3 linked regions of the Drosophila melanogaster genome follow. The protein of the gene in region 2 interacts with the protein of the main gene of each other region in a pairwise test. Each region holds a gene or a part of one and is shown on either strand. Other genes may lie near its edges. The genes, in order: CG9757, CG14855 and smal.

Region 1 (3,409 bases), 1.2 Mb from region 2:
CTGCAACGAGAAAAAAACTCAATGAGAGATAGAAAAAAGGAAATTTCAGACGCGGTATAAATTAAAAATACACTTTTTACTCGACCACCGACGGCGCAGCGAAAAAGTATTTTGACTATGACTGTCATAATCAGTGGAAGTAGAAAAAGGCAGCAGAAAACTTTCAGAAAGGCCAGGCAAACATTTAACCCTCAAAATTCTACCTTCTACCAACTTCACAGAAGACGATTAGTAGAATTACTGATTTACATTGGCCAGGTGTTCAGGTTTTTGGCCATAAAATTCCATAAATTATAGGTAGACCAGGTTCATGGTTGTTTAAATGTTGTAGCTTTTTAATGTGCGTTATAGAAAAATTACACGACCTTGAATGAAAACTTGAAAATACGTCTCAAACGGTATAAATAAGTGATATTAGTTTGGAAAGCTGAATAGTTTTTTGATGGTGATAACGATGACATTATAATTAGTTGATATGAAAAATGTTGGCAAACTAAAAAGTGCTAATAAACATTAAATCACGTGCCATTCAATTTAGATGTTTTTTACCTGCTTAAGCAAGGCGAATCTTTTTTAATGCGAGTCCCCCTTAAAAGTTTTTAATATTTTCTTGCTTGCATTTTGTTTGTTACTTCTTTAAAAGTTCAACACAAAGTTTTGCCTCGTCGCAGAAGGATGGCTATAATGTTGTGAAAAACGTAGGCAGTCTTGTCATTTTCTACATTTTACCTTATCCCCGTTGAACTGAACTGAACTCAACTGATGGTCGGCAATTGACGGATGACAGGTCAGACAGCAAATCAGTTTAATATACAAGTTTCAGACGTAGCAGATTTATTTTAACAGACACTTTGAGTGCATAATTGAATAAAAAGTTTTCGTATCTCGGTTTTTATTTCTCCAGAAAGTGATACAAATTGTTGGTTTACATTTATTATATTAGGTCAGGTCAGGTGAATTAATGTTTTCTAAGCATTTCAAAATATTTCCAGCCAATAAAGTAATTAAAAATAAGAAAATAAATATAATAAGCTGATGGTTTCTTCTGCTTTAAATATAAAACATGTTTCGCCATTTTTTGTTATGTAAGATAACGAGTCTGCCTAAAATGGGTTTTGAAGATCAACAACAAACTGGCTTTTGATTTTGTTTACTAAGTATTATTATTAATTATTAGTATTTCTGAGAATTTCATAAATTAGGATTTCTCCGCTTATAAACCTATTAAATCTAGGTTTTTATTTATAACACGCACACTTGTACTATTACGTACACTTGTATAGTTAATTACGGCAGAGTTCCTTTGTTTTGTAAATAGTATTGAATATTCCATACTTATAAATGAAGTGCTAAATCTTGATTAACAATGACCGAACCAGATCTTAAAATGTGCTAACCACTGAGCAAGCTAATAACCGAAATGAGTCAGTGCGTTGGCCAAAAATGAAACCGACAACATTGATGACATTTGAATAACAACCAGTTGCGTCGACTGTTTACCCTTAGATTTTAATTAAGTCAAACAAACAAAACAAAATCCCCGAACTTCCCGCATTGAAAAGCCTTACGAAATCCGACAGACGAAAGATGAATGGAGAGGCCCACTTGAGATGATGCTTCCCATCTACACTTGGCTTGGCCACTTGTCTATCGATCTGTTTTGTTGTGCGAGCCAAAGAAACTTGAATGTTTTGCGCATTTGAATAGTCGTCCGGAGAAAGCCCATCCTGAACCGGCTGGCCACTTCAGACTTTCCCCCTTCGTCTATACATTTGGTGGGGTGTTTGCCAAAAAGTTTGCCTCCGTTTCTGTTGCCTAATAGGTTTTGGTTATTATTATGGAGCAGCTTTATTGTTGTTGCTCATAGCGCTTAGCCAGACAGTTAATACGAATCGCTCTGCTCGTTGTATACATTTCAGTTCTGGCGTAACACTCACAACTTTGATGTTCCGCGCCCAGTCGAACCACTTCTACTTTTATTCGCTCCCCCATTGCCAGTCGATAAGTTCCGAATCATATAAATTGACCGGCCGCAGAGCAGAGACTTCGTAGAATCCATCGAAACTTTGCCGGTGATTAGTAGCAGAAGTTTCCTCGAAAATGCGCACATTTGTTTGCCTTGCCCTGGCGACCATTCTCCTGGTCGCCGGCTCATCAGCAGCCACATATGATCCTGTGGCGGCGCAACTTCTGGATGTGGATGCAGGTGTCCAGGCTCCGGTGGCAGCACGCCAAGCACGTCAGTTTGGCGGCGGCTTTGGCGGTCCGGGAGGCGGTTTCGGAGGTCCAGGCGGCGGATTCGGAGGTCAAGGCGGCGGATTCGGAGGTCCAGGCGGTGGATTCGGAGGTCAAGGCGGCGGATTCGGAGGTCAAGGCGGCTTCGGAGGCGGTGGCTTTGGTGGACGTCCAGGTGGCGGCTTTGGCGGTCCGGGAGGCGGCTTCGGAGGACCAGGCGGTGGCTTCGGTGGCGGATTTGGAGGCTAGAAACCAAGCAGCAATCATCTGTGACTGACTAAGCATAAAACGCTAGAAATAGACTTTGAAATCAAAGTGCAATCAAGCACGCTCTAATTAAGTTCGAAATACATTTGCCCCTCTTCTTTGATTCACTTAATTTCCTTGTCATTTGCATGGCTTTCAGTGATTGGCATTGGTCTTCAGGGTTAAATGTTGTTTGTGAATGCACTAGGAAAAAAAATGAATGTGGATACGAAAAGAAACAGGATGACTTGAAGCAATCAATGCTAAATTAAGAAGCTGATTAAAAGTATGCCACAGTATTTAAACTTTGGAGCCTTCAAACTTCCAGTCTTTCACAGTACAAGTATACGTATAAAAATGAAGATAAATTTGAAAATTTTTTTTCTTGGACTGTAAATCAGCATTTAATTCGTTCGTTCACGGTTTGTTTGCTTTTTCCTACTTATAACAAAGCAGTCCATTGAAGAAACTTTGCTTCGGCTGCTGCCACTGGCGTTTGCTATCTAACTTGCCAATCGCGTTGGATGGCAAAAGTCGTTTAAGATTAAACGCTTGCTGTAAAATTTCTCTTTTGACAAGCGCCCCTTTTATTGTTAAAAAATTAACTTGGCTTTAAATTTACGCCTTTTGTTATCCCTTGACCTCTGCGCAAAGTGAAGCCAACCAACCCAACCATTCCAAAAGCCCACCCACTCATACAAGGGTCATACGCCAACATTGATAAAAGTTTTCGTTTTTTTCTCGTTGCCCCATCACCCTCTTTTCATTTTTTCTGGCTCGTGAAAAATTTCTTGTTACTAGAACGCAGTCTTGTAAAAGGCTTTGTTAGTCTACACTTTCACGGTATACTTTGGGAACTTTGTTAAAAGTGGACTTTTCCCTTTTTTTTCCCAGCGATTTAATGACTTTGCATAGTTGGGGTTTAAGG
Region 2 (4,619 bases):
TTCGGCGGTCCGCTCTCCTCCGCTGCCACGCACGTACTGCCACTGGCAGTAGCTAGCGCTGTTGGTCCGCTCTGCTCGGCGAACGCCTCCATCGAATAGTTGAATAGTTAAGAGCGCCTTGTGAAAGCGGCTGCGGTAAACTAATATTGGAGTTAAATAGTCGAATCGACTCTTGGTGTTTCCTCTCCGCAGCTGATAAGTCTCCGGATTCAAGTGAGCGAACTGAACTGCTCGATTCGATCATAACTTATATGTTGTGATTTAATTATTGGGGTTGATAAGCGTCTTTGTTGCTCCCATATCATCGCTGTAATCGGCAGTCTTCTATTCAAAATATACAACTATGTTGCTGTTTATTTATGCAGACAGTTTTGTTGATGCTAAAGACTTTACACCCAGCTAACAATGTCATGTGGCTATTCAGAGCATTTCAATACCAATTTAGAGCTGAGAAATACATTTAAATACAATGTCTATAATTTTTGACTGCATATCGGGTTATGCAAAGTGCGGGGCATTTCGTAGCTAAGAATTTTAAGCTGCTATGCAAATTAATCAACGATTTACTTTTTATTACTTCTATTTCATATATAACAACAGCACTTACTGCTAAACCGGCTTATTAATCAGAGTGTCCTCCTCAACAATCGTGGGACCCATTTCCACCTCTGATTTACTGCCTTCCCTCCTAAACATATGACGAAGAAAATCAAATATGCCTTCTCCACGACCGAACTCTTCTCCTTCGGCCAAGGACATTGGAAGTTTCTTATTGCGAGTCTCTGGCAGCAGCAGGCACACATAGGCTCCGGATAGGAAGAGAAGACCCAAAATGATTGACGGAGCTGGCTTGTAGTAGGTGCCCAGGTGAAGAATGTACGGAGAAAGGAAGGAGGCGGCAAATCCAGCCACATGCACCACGGCCACGCCCCTTCCCCGCACGCTGGTGGGGATTAGTTCCGTGGAGAACTGGGAACTGGCGCCATCGGCAATGGAAACTCCAAATCTGGCCGCCATTGTTAGACCCACCAGCAGCAGTACATTTCGATTGCTTCCTTGCGATATCACCAGACCAGCAGCGACGGCAAATATTCCTGTTATGGCCATCCAACCGACCGCGGTGGCCTTGCGACCCATCCGATCCTGGAGCAAACCCTGTAGATAACCCGAGGGTGGCAGAGTCAGCGCATTTAGGGAAAACATGATGAAAGGCGAAATGCCGAGACCCTCAACATTGCGAGCGATGGTGTTGTAGCAGGGAACGATGATTATACTGCAGATATAAAATAAAGTAAATAAATAAATAAAATAACTCTTTGAATATATTTCATTTAGTACTTACAATATGAGCAGCAGCTTAAATGCCGTACTGCGCATGCGCGGCGTTTTCAGCATGTCCAGCAACTTTGCGTGCTCCTCCTGGTTCTTATCTTTGCGATAGTGCTGCTCGCAGTAGATGCGAAAATCCTTGAAGTCTTTGTCGGCCACCTGGCGGCGATTGATCTTGGCCACGCGCTCCAATCGCCTAATGGCTCCATCAACATCGTTTCGCGTGACCAGCCATTGGGCGCTCTCCTGGACGAGGAAGTAGAACAGAGTAACCAGCAGCAGAGGAACCGAGGAGCACGCCAGGAAAATGCGCCAGTGGCCCACCCAGACAGCTAGCCAGCAGGCTCCGATCAGGCCAAGACAATAAAAGCTGCCCAAAACTGTATTGAGACCCACATTTCTCAAAGAGGGTGAAACGTATTCGAGAACTGTCCAGAAAGACCCAATTGAACTAGTCATTGCGTTATGAACTCCATGCAATTACTTACTCAGTATGTACATGAGATAGGAGTTGGCATCAGCCGCCAATCCAGATATAAAACGGCTGATCGAAAAAGAAGTTAGGCTCCCAGCGAATATGGTTGAGAAATCGCCCAAGAAGCCACACCAGTTGGCCAAAATCAAAGCCCTAATGCGTCCTATTCGATCACCAAGCAGACCAAAAGCCAGAGTTCCGCACACCGAACCCACAAAGAAAAGCGACTGACCCACTCGTGCTTTATATGCCTCATCGCAGACCCAGTTTAGCTGAAACACAATAACAACCAAAGCTAACATAGTTTTTCCAAAACGGAAAATTATAATCACGCACTTACCTCTGTATTCATACTTTTGTACCCAAAGTCGTACTTATAGATCCACCGATTGCAGCGCTCCCTACTGAGCGTGTGGTTCTGCCCATCCTCATCGATCTTCTCCAGTCGCGTGCAAGAGGGCTTCTCGAATTGAGAGTATATCTTTTCGATTTCAGCGAAACTGCGATTCTCCAGCTGCTCGTGATAGCACCAATGATCGGGCACAAAACTGATGACGTTTTGTGAGAAATAGTGCATCGAAACGACGACCATTAGGTAGCCATAGAGCGCCAGCAGTACAAACTGATAACGACTGCTGTTGCCGCACTTGGCCAGAATCTCCTCGAAATCCATGCTGTCGTTATCAGATTTTAGCGGTCCCCAATTGTAGCGGCTTTCGCAGTGCTATGATAAACGCATATCTGAGAAATCCGACATTTATGGAGGCGTTTGGGGAGTCAACTAATCGCCAGCGGGTTCTCAATATCGGTTTATTAGTCCCAAGCCAAACGCTTTCAAGGGTCCGGGGTTACTGAACGCAGGCGAAACCCGTTCCGGATTTGTATGTTCCGCTGACAGGGAGCGCACATAGCCAACTGGTTGAGCCTGAGACTCAGTCTCGAGTACCAACTGCTCCACTGGGGCGGCAATAAGAGAGCGGTGCTTACACGAGAGCCCAATATACCTTTCTCCGAACTCTTTAACGCTCTTATTCAATTATGCGAAATTTGAAAAATGACACTCGGTCACGTTTCGCTTGAAAAAGGCGGCTTGAAATTTTGCACTGCATTTACAAAATTTGAATATCAATTAACTTCAATTTATGCCACTTGGCCATTGAAAAGCAGCCCAGCAGTCTGAGGGTTAACTTGGATTGATTTTGATTGATATATATGTAAGTGTGTCAAAGTAAAAGTATGTCTCGCCATTATATGTTGATTGAAAATATTAAAAGATAGCTAAAAAATGTATATACATAGTCGCAAAACTTACCGCAGTAATCCAACGGATTTAATAAAAAATCAAGCACTCATGTATTTTTTATAATTTTTATTTTAGTGTTTTTTTTTTTCATTTATGTGTTTATCAATTACATTTGCTGTTGAAATGGATACATGTCTACATTTGCTGCCTTTTGAATATATTATTATTAGCTTTAATATGAATCATAAATGTTGGTTTCCCTCACTTCTATGTCTGTTGGTTTTATAAATGTAGTAAACGCAGTTTCGTGATAACATGATAGATAGAGCCTATTACAATTGCCTTTCGACTTAAATAGAATACATACATAATAAGATAGTATACCAAACTGTACATACATACATTAGATGCGATGTGTTAACTAAATTTGATTAACAACTAAACTACTTAGCCGGCCTAGTACGAGTCAATTAAATGTAGTTTTGAGTAAATAGGCAATGGTGCAGGATAACTAACTTACGACTCCTTACAAAGATGCACACGCTCTAAATAATATTTTACATACAAAGTAGTGGGTAAGGCATACATATTATATGCTATTAATAAATAGTCGAAGAAACAATTTACGTAAAGACTAAAGCCCTGAATGGTTAATGGAGAAAACAAACATTACGTTCAATACAATTCAGTCACAATTCATTTCAGTTACAATCGATAATTTCAGGGCCGTTGGATAGTTAAACCAAATATATTTAAATCAACATTATACACATCACGTAACACTAAACTACAGCTACATACACATATTTATCCATTTTCTTTCGATAATTACAAAACAACGTGTGAAATGGGGGTTTGAAACTAAGGACTAGTTTAGATATGATAGTTGATAGTTAAACACCTGCACCCGGGAATCACTTAAACACACTCAATGCTATCATAGAAAATCTCTTCATCTGGATCTGGTTCCGATAGCTCCTCCTCAAAATCATCAACATCGTAGGAAATCAAGGACTGCATGCTGTCATCCAGCAGCTTGTGCTGCACATGATGCACCTCAAACAGTTTCTCGTCCTTCTTATCCCTGGGCGGAGTACCAAACCAGATGGCATCCACCTCGTCTGCACACCCATCACCACCATAATCAGGATCAACGCCATCGCACCGATCATCATCCTCCGGGGCTGCAGGATTAGCTCTGGCCTCCATGGAGTCACAGTAGCCATAGTCGAAAGTGACCAGGAGATTGGCACTGCCACAATCCATGGAATCGGGCGTGGTATATTCGGTGTAGTACGAATCGTAGGCCGTCTCCTCGGACACATCGTGCAGCTCATGGGGCAGATATCGTTCCATTTGAATCTTTCCCTGGCTGCTGCTGCTCGTTTGCCATAGTTGCCAATTTTGGTTATTGAGACGGAAATTTGGCTTTTCAACGGTGTTGGCCAAATTCTAAGCATCATTTTCGGGAGAATTCGGGTAAGAGCAAAGAAAAACAGAATAGAATATCAATTCTTTGGTACAATGGGTAATCAGGTAATGAGGATTAGAAATTAGAACGCAAACAGAAGT
Region 3 (4,776 bases), on a different chromosome or scaffold from region 2:
CGTGTCAACAGCTATCGTTCTTGCACAATAGATAAAATACAGTAATGGGTATCTGATAGAATTTTTAATCTTCGAAAGCAGTCCATCGAGAATGTCAGTATCTATAAATACTTTATGGAGTGGGAAAGGTCTGGGACAATAAACAAATGTGGCAAAAGATACTATGCCAGTATCGCAGCATGGGGTTGATGTATTCACAGAGTCCTTGAAGGCTATGTAAATATTTACTCGTGATAACGCAACATTTGCTTGTTCTATCTATGTATGTATTTTGTATATCTATTAGCAGCGCTGAATGCATTTTTGTGTAAATTCCTGATCATAACCATTTGGCCGCCGCTCATCCGCTCGTCCGCTGATTTCTTTGACTGCCGGGCAGGCGAACAAGCCGTTTGACAGACAGCGCATGCCCAACGGCTTTGGCCGGAATGGGTATGAGTTATGGTTGGAAGTTGGCAATGCTTCTGCTGTCTGCTGTTTGTTTGTACACTCGGATGTGACAAATGGCCAATTGATAGGAACATGCAAAGAGTCTATCGAATAAAACTACGTACAAAGTTAAATTGACTACAAGACAGAATGTTTGATTTGCTGGAGTTGTCCTGTCAATAACATTTACATTAATCTTGCAGAATATTTGTATATATTTTTAAATTAATATCCAATTCATAGCTTTCTGGGTGTCTGTAATCATAAAATAGAAGACAAAAAACATGTTTTTTTTTTTTAACTAAGAAAACAGACAAAGAGACAGAAGAAGTACTGCTTTCATAAACAGTCACCATATATGATACAAATTGGTTACGGTTTCCAGATAACGCCTTTCCAAACGCTGTTCGCTTTTCGATAGGCGATCTGGCCCGGAGCGATATCAGTTGATTAGCGGCGATCCACTCGAGGAATTCGTTGTGGGCCCCTCGAAATTGTGTCACCGAGTCAAACATTCGAAAGTGGCGAAGAACAAAGGGTCGGATCAACTGGTGAGACCAATCAATCAACCCACAACCTCTGCGATACAATCTACAAGTGCGTAGCTATAAATCCCCATGCCCCACGAAAACCGTAGAGTTCGTAAATCATACATGTCCATATGATATGGTGCACCAATGTGACAAGATCGCATTTCTCTGCTGGAAATTATGACAAGTTGTATGTGCGATTTCGGCTTAATGCCGGCGTCAATCATTGGAAATTCATCAGAGGCCGCGATTGGCGGCGGTCCGCCATTTCCAATTTGGACTGCAAGGCGGATTCGCCGGAAAAAGCGAGCGAAAGGAAAAGTCGGGGAGGGTAAAAACAAATCAACAGTTCGAATTCGCTCTTGTTTTGTTCCACATTCGCCGCAGACGGAAATCTCTTATACGAGCCGGAAGAGAGCGGAAAAACTCTATCGGATTTGGAGTTTCTCGGCGATTTTCACAGAGCACAGGTGAAGTGCCTGGGCCTGGGCAGGTAAATTCAACTCCATTGTGGATAATTTTACTGAGAATTGAAAAACTTAGTTTTTAGCGCAGCATATACAATATAAACTATACTGTAGCTTAAATGATAAGTTTTAAGGAAACAAAAACATAGAAACAACTCCAAATTATGATTTAAATGTTAATTTGATAATATAAATCCTTGCAGGTCCTTTACAGCGCTCTCCACACATAAACTTTGTAAACAGTTCCACCGACGAGCGAACAGAGTCCACAAAAGAGAAGCGCTCGCTCTCTTAGCATCCACACTTACATGCAACGGAGTGGTGCGCTGCACGTTACATTCAATCGGATTCAATCGCTCGTCGACCTTCGTGCCGCGCGTTACAAGAGTCGCAGTCGCTGTCGCAGTCCGCCGTCTCAGTCTCAGTTTGTGCCCCCAGTCTCAATCCAGCTCTCGTGACAAGAAGAACAGAACGCCTTGGCCACTGGCAACGCGGTCGCGAATCAACGCAGTTACCCATCTCAGGCTTAATCGGCTGGCAGCCAATCGCCAAGAGATCCGACAGATACGGATACGCAATCCGCGCAGCGCGAGTGCAGAGATACGAATTGGTCAGGAATAAGATACGGTGCAAGTGGCACCCAAGATGCGGCAATTGTGCACCTGCGGCCGCCAGCAGCGTGCGGCAAAGTGTGTGAAATGTGCTACCTGAGAAAATGCCCACGGAGTGCTCAAACATATCGAAACAAACCAGCAGATAGAGTATCTTTTGCTGCCCCAGTGAACAACAGTGCTTGAAATTTTAGTAGAGAAATCGTTGTTTTTTGCTACAAACTAAAGTGCAAACGGAATACAATCAATATACACCTTAAGTCAACGCAAAGGCTAATTCAAAACTCTTGGAATATTTAGGTGAGTTGAGAGTGAAGAAAGGCCTAACTTGAAAACAATCAGTGCTCAATGCTCAAAGCAATCATGTCAATAAACAGGATTTCCCCATAGAGACTTTGCAATGCATAAATAAATATTGAGTTGCAAACAATCAATTAGTGCGACAAAAACAAGTTTATGTCAATTACTAACTAAATAATTCATTTATCCGAAAAGAAACCAGAAGAATATTGGCCCAATCAAATGTATCTCATCAAGGCGCATTCCAGAGATCAAAAGATATCATTTCCAACCCGTTCTCCCCATTTCTTACGGTGGCTGTCCCCTTGCCTCATTAATTAAACACAAATTAAGAAAGAGCCAAGCTGTCAACATCTGGGGCTAATCAAACTAACCTGCTGTATTTTATAAATAAGAAGCGAAGAAGAAAAGCGGCGGCAGGTCGTAAAACGCTAAGATACTGCCCTTATCTCCTAAAGAAAGATCTTTCTCCGAACACTTTGTGCCTCCGACGGCTGTTGCACACAGATTCTTATCTCGCAGATGCAGTTATGTATCTAGATATTCCGCAGTACAACCTCAACCTCGAGTCTTTGGCAACTTCACACTCCGCTAGACGCGCAACGAGGCCCCTGGATTTCATAATTTTCCCGCTGTTCTGCGGGGTAATTAAGTAGAAGTATGTTTGGCAATTAAAGTTCCAGAGACCTCGCTTTCGCTTTTTCCCCCCGCAATCATCAGCTTTTGTAAATAACTCGAGTTATTTTTCTTGCTCACTTGGGATGGTTTAGAAATTTAAGATTGAGATTGGGCATCCGATGGGTAGCGATTACCGCGAGCTGCGAAGATGCAGCCGCAATCGCGCATGCATAATTAATTTCGTGTAAAAATCATAATTACACCAATTAAAATTTGTGTAAACAAGTTGGCAGCAGGCGGGCGAGTCCCTCAATCTGCCCCAAGCGCCGTTTGGGGCGCAATCATTATGATAATACCGCTGAAAAAACTTTTCGTGGTCGATTGCGAGGGGAACTCTTTATTGCCATTGTAGAAAAAGTTGGTGGGCCCAGGCGGAATTGAGTTGGCTATATTATGGTAATGAGACGTTTGAGTATGCCTCCAATGAACAACAGATTTGCCGCAGATTTGCCCAATCTGCTTTAAACTGCGCCTAAAACCCATAATTCGATGTGCGTGAAAGAATTTAAAGCACCGAAGTTCATAGATGCATCCACATAGCTACCATTAACAGGTTGTATTCAATATTTTATTCAAATCTAACTAAAATACTAAGACAGCAAAGTGATAAAATTGATTAGCAATGAAATTATGAAATGCAATAATCGCTAGTTTTATTTCATTGCCACTGAATCCGAAAAATACGTTATTCATTCAAACGTTGCGTTGAATAAAATGTGAAATATGTTTGTGGAATTAAAAAAGGTGTATAAAACTATATTTATAAATATACAAAGTGTGCAGCTTGGAAATTCATGGGAATTATTATGAATTTATTTTGTACATAAACACACATCTCTTTCATTTACCTGCAACCATCTACCAACGAAATGAAAATGTGTATCTCAATTTTTGGGGGGAAAATATTTTCTTTTGTCAGCTGGGATTACGATGGAAATGGGGCAACAATATTTACCATGTTCTTCTGCAATTTTAATAAGGATCCATTTAAACAGCATTGATTAAACTTTGTTTTCATTAAAATCTAAACAAAGCCCATTCATGCAATGTCAAAAATAAATAATAAAATGTCTAATTAGACCATTAAATCCGATGGCAATATAACAGCCAGCTAGTCGCATTTGAACTATTTAAGTTTAATTTGAAATGCCAAGGTATATTTCTTCTTTAAATAAGTAAAATTCCACCGACGTGCGGCAATTTATATTAGTGTCTTCTTCAACGAATTCAACTTCCATTTAACCTCATTCTGTACACATCGCATCCCCCAGGTCATTTTTCAGGGGCTGGCAAACACAACAGTCAACAAAATTTATACCCAAGAAGTGTCATTCTCGTGTGCATTTCGGGCTTTTTTTTTGCCGCTGGTTCGACGAGATCGTGTCGCTGCCCACATGGCTGCCACCGAATTGCTGGCGGAGACTCCAACTCCTCCGCGTCCCCTAATTAATTAGCATCTAACTAAGAATAATGTTTCCTGCGGCCCTCGACTGTCATAACTTGGCCGCAAGTTTATTTGTTTGGCTCGCCAACCGAAGGCGGCGCACAAAAGACATAGCCACCATTCCGTGAGATACAGATACAAGTACACAGATACAGATACAGATACGGGGGAAAACTGGAGGCACAGATGCCAAGACGGCGCACAGGTGCCACATTTTCTTCGATTGCAGGGGTATAAATGCCGCCAGGAGCACTAATTCGTGGCTGCCACTCCGCATTTTTGTTTGTTAGTTTCGTTTGGCTGGGTTTTTATGGCCA

The links.
Region 1: the proteins of CG14855 (region 2) and CG9757 interact in a two-hybrid assay, tested with the Drosophila melanogaster proteins (one large-scale study listed by BioGRID).
Region 3: the proteins of CG14855 (region 2) and smal interact in a two-hybrid assay, tested with the Drosophila melanogaster proteins (one large-scale study listed by BioGRID).

Annotation. Positions count from the first base shown.
Region 1 is NT_033777.3:13,611,069-13,614,477, reverse strand, and holds CG9757 (uncharacterized protein), read left to right. Parts: upstream 1-2,044; 5' UTR 2,045-2,100; coding exon 2,101-2,484; 3' UTR 2,485-2,895; downstream 2,896-3,409.
Region 2 is NT_033777.3:14,794,409-14,799,027, reverse strand, and holds CG14855 (uncharacterized protein), read right to left. Parts: upstream 2,724-4,619; 5' UTR 2,478-2,723; coding exon 2,145-2,477; intron 2,077-2,144; coding exon 1,818-2,076; intron 1,758-1,817; coding exon 1,343-1,757; intron 1,274-1,342; coding exon 610-1,273; 3' UTR 554-609; downstream 1-553. Other genes in the region: jvl (javelin-like), read right to left, coding at 3,966-4,499.
Region 3 is NT_033779.5:6,177,363-6,182,138, forward strand, and holds the start of smal (smoke alarm), read left to right. Parts: upstream 1-1,770; 5' UTR 1,771-2,337; intron 2,338-4,776.